Oryzias latipes: one gene and its partner. The protein of the gene in region 1 purifies or fractionates together with the protein of each later gene. This does not show direct contact. Links are inferred from orthologs where the notes say so. Each region holds a gene or a part of one and is shown in the gene's direction. Other genes may lie near its edges.

The links.
Region 2: the proteins of dock1 (region 1) and engulfment and cell motility protein 1 purify together in Homo sapiens (affinity purification with western blotting; 12 studies listed by BioGRID and IntAct, counting the BioPlex papers as one, with this or other methods). This does not show direct contact. The link is inferred for Oryzias latipes from reciprocal best matches to the Homo sapiens genes DOCK1 and ELMO1.

The regions. Positions count from the first base shown.
Region 1 is NC_019877.2:12,101,269-12,105,096, forward strand, and holds part of dock1 (dedicator of cytokinesis protein 1), read left to right. Parts: intron 1-432; coding exon 433-518; intron 519-1,404; coding exon 1,405-1,561; intron 1,562-2,041; coding exon 2,042-2,082; intron 2,083-2,404; coding exon 2,405-2,495; intron 2,496-3,828. UniProt on the Homo sapiens protein: Involved in cytoskeletal rearrangements required for phagocytosis of apoptotic cells and cell motility. Along with DOCK1, mediates CRK/CRKL regulation of epithelial and endothelial cell spreading and migration on type IV collagen.
Region 2 is NC_019869.2:8,654,665-8,658,492, reverse strand, and holds part of engulfment and cell motility protein 1, read left to right. Parts: intron 1-168; coding exon 169-320; intron 321-497; coding exon 498-576; intron 577-2,415; coding exon 2,416-2,457; intron 2,458-3,342; coding exon 3,343-3,393; intron 3,394-3,603; coding exon 3,604-3,726; intron 3,727-3,828. UniProt on the Homo sapiens protein: Involved in cytoskeletal rearrangements required for phagocytosis of apoptotic cells and cell motility. Acts in association with DOCK1 and CRK. Was initially proposed to be required in complex with DOCK1 to activate Rac Rho small GTPases.

The DNA.
Region 1 (3,828 bases):
CTATGCTTAAGTCAGAGTCTTTGTATCTTTTTGGGAAAAACAAAAATGTAAAAGTTTTTTTTTTTTTTTTTTTTTGAACAGAATAAAATCCTCTTTTTCACCTCAGCTAAATAAAAAATAATAAGAAAGGGATTATAAATCACTGTCAGTGCTGACAACATCAATGCAGCTGGAGTAATGCTGGGTCTTGTCATATTGCTTTGTTTAGAGCTTCTCCAAAAAATGTAAACAGGCAAATAAGAACATTCGTAATAATTAAATTTGAAAAAATAAATGTTGAGGCTCCCAGCCAGATGTTCTGCAAGAGACGATCGATTAAAGTTGAAACCTTAGCTTAGCCTAAGTCTAAATGAAGGGTGAGAAGAGGGACGGGGCTAATGAATTGAAAAATTAGCTGCGCTGATTATTTACGCCTGCTCTGTCTAATTGCAGTTTGAGAACGAGATCATCACCAAACTCGATCACGAGGTGGAAGGAGGCCACGGAGACGAACAGTACAAACTCCTCTTCCAGAAAATGTAAGCCCTGATTAGATCATGCTAATTGCAACGTATTAGTCCTCAAAATAACCACAGGTGACATCTTACGGGATCTTTTTTTCCCCCATCACAGTAAATAAGTTACAACAAAAACAAAAACCTAACATTTTCCAAAAGGCCGTGTCACACAGCCACTAAGTACGTTTTGCACGGATGAAAATAGGTCATACATGAATATACAGGGAAAAAGCGTGAAAAGTTGTGGTCTTTACGTGAAATTTTCTAGGATTCGTCAAGAATGAACAAATTCAAAACCATAGAAGATAAATAAACCGATCAAAGAACACATAAATCCATGTAGAACATGAACTGTGTGTGATTGTTGCACTGTTTATTTGCAATTCTTTAGTGATTTGTGCGTCAATTACATAATTTTAACGTGATTTGTGTGCCGTATATGTAATATAAAATTTATACATCAGTTATACAACGATCGTGGAAAGCCACAAATGTGCGTATGCTTCTCGCAAAAATCACACACAATTGTGTAGGGATTATGTAATAATTTCATATAAACTGCAGTACAGACCAAAAGTTTGGACAAACCTTTTCATTCAAACTACTGGTCTGTACTGTATGTTAAATATGCGTAAACTGCGTTATTTCCAACCGATCAAGGATTTTGAACAGGTCAAAACCGATTTCATGTAATGAACGGACGGACATCTATCTGCACTCATTGATGAACTCAAGACAGACTTATGAATTACGTATATCTCGTGTATCAGGAAAGACCAAAATTTCATACATGGAAAATGTGCAAAATGTATGACACAACCTTAAGTCTTTGTCAGGTTTTTGTTTTTTGTGTTAGGTCTCTCAATACATTCTTTCTACCTCTTCTATGTTTTGCAACAAACACCAGTTTGCTGGAGCACTGTCGGAAGCACAAGTACTTGGCAAGAATGGGCGAGCTCTTTGTCAATCTGGTAGTGCGTCTGCTGGAGCGGCTGCTGGACTACAGGACCATCATGCATGACGAGAACAAGGAAAACCGCATGAGCTGTACGGTCAATGTGCTCGTAAGTCAGCTGCTGCCAATTCCACCACACCTGTAACGCACAAATATAAGTTCTCATAATCCGATCTGCTCCCAGACAAAAAAAAAAAAAAGAAAAGAAAAAACTACCTGCACGTGACAGAATGTGTTAAGATGTTATCACAGAGCGGTTAATCTTAGTCAATGCCTTTTTGGGACGAGACATTTTATCTGGTGGTGCCAAAATGCCAGGTTTATCCCACATGATTAAAGGTTTCTAGAAGGCCGCGGACCTGTGGCTTTGTAGTTAGCATTTGTTTGAGCCGTGCTCTATCAGTGCCTGTATCTTAACATTTACCCAAAGCTGTGTTCTATCAAATGTTGCCAGAAAGTCATGTGTTCACCTTTTAGGTGAATTTTATAACAAAAACACCTGCAGTTCATGCATTTAAAGTGGGATCTGAGTGTTACAGGATGGTGTTCTGGAGAGGTTTAAATGTTTTTTTCTTCTTCTTTGCTGTAGAACTTTTACAAGGAGATAGACAGAGAAGAAATGTACATCAGGTAAGACCCATTCCAGAATTTCCCTCCAACTAAAATCCATCCCCTTGAGGCATTTAATAAAACACCAAGGTATATTACATGGAGAACATTAATCCTCTTTTATTCTTGTAATTCCCTGGAGCTCCATTTTTTTAAAAATATGCCTCCTCTTTCAAATTACAACAGTGTGAGTTTTTTTTTTCCTTCCCCTGCTGTCTGTCAAGTTTTGTTGAAGTGAAACAATAAGGAGGCCTTTGTCGTTTTATTGAAGCAGAAAGAAAGGTGTTGGTTAAGTGTGAAAAGCATTCTTCCATATGAATCTAAAAGCATTGCTTCCTGTCAGATACCTGTACAAGCTGTGCGACTTACACAGAGAGTGTGACAACTACACAGAGGCTGCTTACACCTTGCTGCTACATGCAAAACTACTCAAGGTAAGCAGACACGACACACTAACAAGCCGTATCTGCTCAGATTTTCCACAAAACCACTGCAAAGCACGCAGCATTTAACCTTAAGCATCAATAAAAGTCATTTTAATGTGTTTGAAGTAAAAGAAATGTTAAGCAGGGTCAATAATAATATACATTTTCCAAACTTGTCTAGTTATAAAATAAAAAAACAAAATAGGAATTATTATAGTCAAAGCAGAGCTTTAAATCTAAATAATCTACATCATCTCTGTTTTATTGCTTCATGGTGATGAGAGGCTTATTTTCTCCTGATCATTTCAGTTAGAAACATGTAGATAAATAGGTTATCAAGAAGCTCATCATCCTTTGTTGAAAATACACCGCACAATTTCTCACGCAATTTGGAGACCCGGTTGGGACTTTGCTAAGCCGGTATATTTTTGTGTCGATCCTTTGCACCTTTCTGGCAAATTATATCACCCCAAAACTCATCTGGGTTTGCATAAATAGGTGTATTCATCAGCCTTCAAATTGGGATTTCAGAAAATAAAAAATAAAAAACAGGCTGTGACTGAATCCCATTTTGCTGGCTGACTAATCACAGTTTCATCTGCGGGAGTCCGTTTTATTACTTTGAATCTACTTGTGATTTAGCATCTGTTTTCTTACTGATTACAGCAAACAAAAAGAAAGAGATTCCATTTATGTGTGGAAGTTTGTACATTTTGATTAACCATTTCGTTCATGCTTTTAGATAAACTGAGGGTAACTGCCCGTAAAGTAGTATATGATGTAAAACTTACATCTGATAAATAATTGGTTTTCTTAAGAAAACTAGCATCAGTGCTAATATGATTACCAAACATTCGAAAGTGCAATTCGGCGGGGGTGTCCAGTTCCAGTTTCAGTGTCAAGTCAACGTACAGATGCGATCAGAGGTCTTGCAGAGGGTTTTGAGCATCAGGCGTGGCGGTCCTGGATATATATAAATAAAGAAAACTCTCTGAATGAGAAGGTGTGTCCAAACTTTTGGTCTTTTTTTTTTTTGCATCAAGACAATAATAAAAAGTTTCTCTTATTTTATTCTTATTTTAATTTTTTTTCCTCCTTGGACTGGTACCGGACATCACATTGTAGAAGTGGGTCACAGAGGGACGGAAGTACCGCTGGAAGCGTCCATCATTAGGACGCAGGTCTTGCAGTAGATGGTGAACCTCATCATACTGGGAGAGTCATTGAATGATCTCATGAACCCAGACATGGAGACATGATTACTGATGCCTTTGTAGAGCTTTGCAAAATAAATAAACCTGATCCTCTCAACTTCATCCACGTCTTCTATGCAGTGACTCTA
Region 2 (3,828 bases), on another chromosome or scaffold:
CAATGGAGGAAGGGTCCTTAAGTCCAATTCTGTTAAACAGCCAATGGTTTTTACCTGTTAAATCATTTAAGTTGACTCACTTATTATTTGTTATGCTAGGTGTTTAACCTTTTTCAGTGATTAATATTATTATCATTTAGGATATATTTCCTGCTTTCTTTTGTGCAGATTGCCAGCTTTGTGAACAAGTCGGCCATGGACACGGCAGTGTTGCAGCGCTCCCTGGCCATCCTAGAGTCCATGGTGCTCAACAGTCAGGATCTTTACCACAAGGTGGCGCAAGAAATCACCATTGGACAGCTCATTCCTCATCTCCAGGGGTAAGTAGATGGAGTAACCATTACTTGTCCTTACTTTAAAAAAATTGTTTTTTTAATGTATTTTATATTTCCTGGTTTTAATAATGTTGCTTTGTCTTCTCTTAACTATTCTGAGCTGTTTTATAAATCTTGTCTTTAATATGTTTCTTTTGGGGGGGTTGGGGTTGTGGATTGCAGGACTGACCAGGACATTCAGACTTATACGGTTGCTGTGATCAATGCACTGTTCCTCAAAGCCCCAGAGGAGAAGAGACAGGTGAGGTTAAAGTGTTCATGTTTAGCATATCTACCCTGTACTATCAGTTCATATGGCAATCAGCGGTGTCCTTCTCTGTTATGTTGAAATTTTATAGATAGATGGATAGATGGATAGATGGATGGATGGATGGATATTTGGTCTGTAAATGACTCAATCTATGCAAGTAATAAGATTTTTGTTTTTATGGGAAAGGTGATAATTGGGATGGTTGCCTGTCATTTACAACAAGCCTGTTGCTGACCACGTTATCGCTTACGTCAGAGCCACAACGCTCAACGATGTACTCATTTGTAACAATTGGTGGTAATAATCATTTTTTGTGCAACTCGACCATTCATAAAGTTAATATTCTGACTACTAAGTACAACAGAGCAAAGAAAGTATTTGGCAGTCCCCAAACTTAAAAGTCATCCTCTTAAAATTAGGTGAGATCTGTAAAGTTGATCATAGATACGTTTTATTTGTGAGAGACGGAATGGATTAAAAAAAGAAACATGGAAATCCCATAAATGATTCTTAATTCATTTATTAGTTCAAGGGTTCAGGAAATAAGTATTTGGTCATTAACAAAAGTATACGGTACTTTAATACTTAATATAAATGGCAATGCCAGACAAGACAACCTTGAAATGTTTTTTTACACTACCACTCTTTTGTTGCCCAGGCAGTGTTTGGGATCATTGTCACGCTGGAAGATCCAACCATGTTTTTTTCCTATGGTTCTCACTGATGGAAAGAGGATTTTGTCCAAAATCTCACCATACATGGCCCCATTCATCTCTTCCATAATCATCCTGTCCCCTTTGCAGAAACATAACCCAATCGCATGATGCTTCCACCCCCATGCTTCAAAGTGGTGTTCTTGGGATCCAACTCAGCATTCTTTCCCTCAAAAAAAAGTAAAAGTCAGATTTTTAACAGAGTTCCATTTTGGATCCTTGATATCCTACCAATTGTCCTAGGAATCATCCTGGTGGTCTCTGGCAAACTTTAAAAAGGCTTGGGAATGTGCTGTTCTCAAACTAGAGGACCTTTGAGCCCTGCAGGACTGTAACCATGACATTGTTGTACATTACTATTAGCAACCTTTTTGTCTGAGGTCAAAGCCCTCTCTAGGCCATTGACCAGTTCCCCCCATGTAGTGCTGGACTGTTTCTTCACATTTCCCAAGATTCCACAAAGTGAGATCTTACATGGAACCCCAAATTGAGGGAAATTGTCACTGAATGATGCTTTTTTTCCATATTCTATTCTCACCAAGCTTCTTGCTCACCTGCTTACTTATTTAAAGTATGATGGTGTCTGCGTTTGGCTTTTTTTACTCTGTTTTTTTTTTCTCTTCTCGTTTTCATCACTTACATCTTTATATCAGTCCCAGGTCAAGCACCTCTGCTGTACAACCATACAATCAAAGAACTTACCGGTAGGTTTGGTACAAAGTGACTATGGAAAATCCTTTGGCACTTGGGAGGACTACAAACAAATTTTCTCCATTACCATTTGTGTTCCTCCTCCTCATCTAAATATAGGTTCTTCGGGCCATCTGGCACTGGTAAATGTAAGAAAAAAATCTCAGAGAAGAGGTATCAAAGTTGGTGTACAAGTGGAAAGCCGTCATGTTCATTATGATGTGGGTCAATTTGGCAACTGCCAAATACTTTTTGCCCCACTGTTTTGCTGAAAATGCCATCCACTCTTTGTCCCAAGCACCAAAACAATCAGATCTTGAATCCGTTTTTTCCTGACATCATTTCAAACTTTTTTTGGACCACTACATTCACTCAACTTACCCTCTTTGTCTCTGACCTTGTCTCTTCACTGCACACGACATGGTAGTATGATGAGCACATTGTGGACATCCTAGACTGTCCTCTGACAGTAAGTGCACCCTTGACTAGCACACTCTGTAGTTTGCATTGTAGAAGTCGAGAGTTTGTTTATTTAATTCCTGTATTTAAATTTTTTTTTTTTAGACGATTTTCTAACATACCATGTTTTTTCGGACCATAATGCGCGTTTAAACTATTTCACACTTCTCAAAAATTGACAGATCGCCATATAATCCCATACATCTAATGTATTAATTTTAGTTTTATCTGATACACGCCACTCAAAAATCCTTCAGGTACGACTGTGGTTGGCTACGATACTGCACGCTTGGATGGAATGGCTAAGTCTTATGGCTACCATAATAAGGGGCCTTGCTTTATCATAATGAACTGAAAACATAAGTATATTGTTTGTATTTTATGTGTTCCAACCAATTAATGTCAAGTTATTGTGAAGTAGTTCAATAAAGTTGAAGTATATGTTGCAAATACCTAGATATTGCAGATAAAACAGGCACAAATGGATGACAACAGTTTCCTAGAATATTGAAGTTATTTACAGACATAGACTCCTCTGACCAATACCCTGCTGCCTTTTGCAGTCCTTAGGAATTCTGGGTAGTGTAGTAAACCACATTATACCACAGTTTTGTTTTACTTTATGTGTGGAAATAGGCCATTGATATTGCACCTTATGGTCCGAAAAGAACGGTCTTTTGTTTTTCTAGCCTTTACATGCACACTTGATAGTGTGCCGCAGGCCTTTTCGTTTGCCTTGCTTGTCTAAAGTTTAGCGTAGAGAATCCCCAAATCTCAATTTTTTACCTCAACATATTTATGATCTTACATCATTGTTTTTCTTGTTACCCCCCACCTTTTATTAAATTTCTTTATTTTTTGTCTCTTTCTTCTTCTTTTTCGTCTCTTTCTACAGGAGATGGCCCACATTCTGGCCCAAAAGCAGCTGCGCTCCATCATTCTTACTGTAAGTTCATTTTTATTAGCCGTTGTTTAAACTCGAAGAACAGCATGTTTTACCTTTAAAATGACACTCTTAAATATTCTTACTTACACACCTGTGTCTACTATTTTGCTTCATTTGCTTCCCTATCTGTATATTCCACAAAAATCCTTGACTTCCCTTTTCTTCTGACCTTTTTTCATGCTTACTAAACTAGTTTACCATTTTGTGCAGAATGTGATCCGTAATCCCACACCCATCAATGATGAGATGGCACACCAGCTATATGTGCTGCAGGTGCTCACTTTCAACTTGCTGGAAGACCGGATGATGACCAAGATGGATCCCCAGGACCAGGTCAGTAAAAACTAGTGCTTTGTTATACAAATAAAACTTGGTAGATGTGTTTTTTTTTTTTATTCTAAATATGCAAATTCCAAAAGCTATGTGAATTTATGG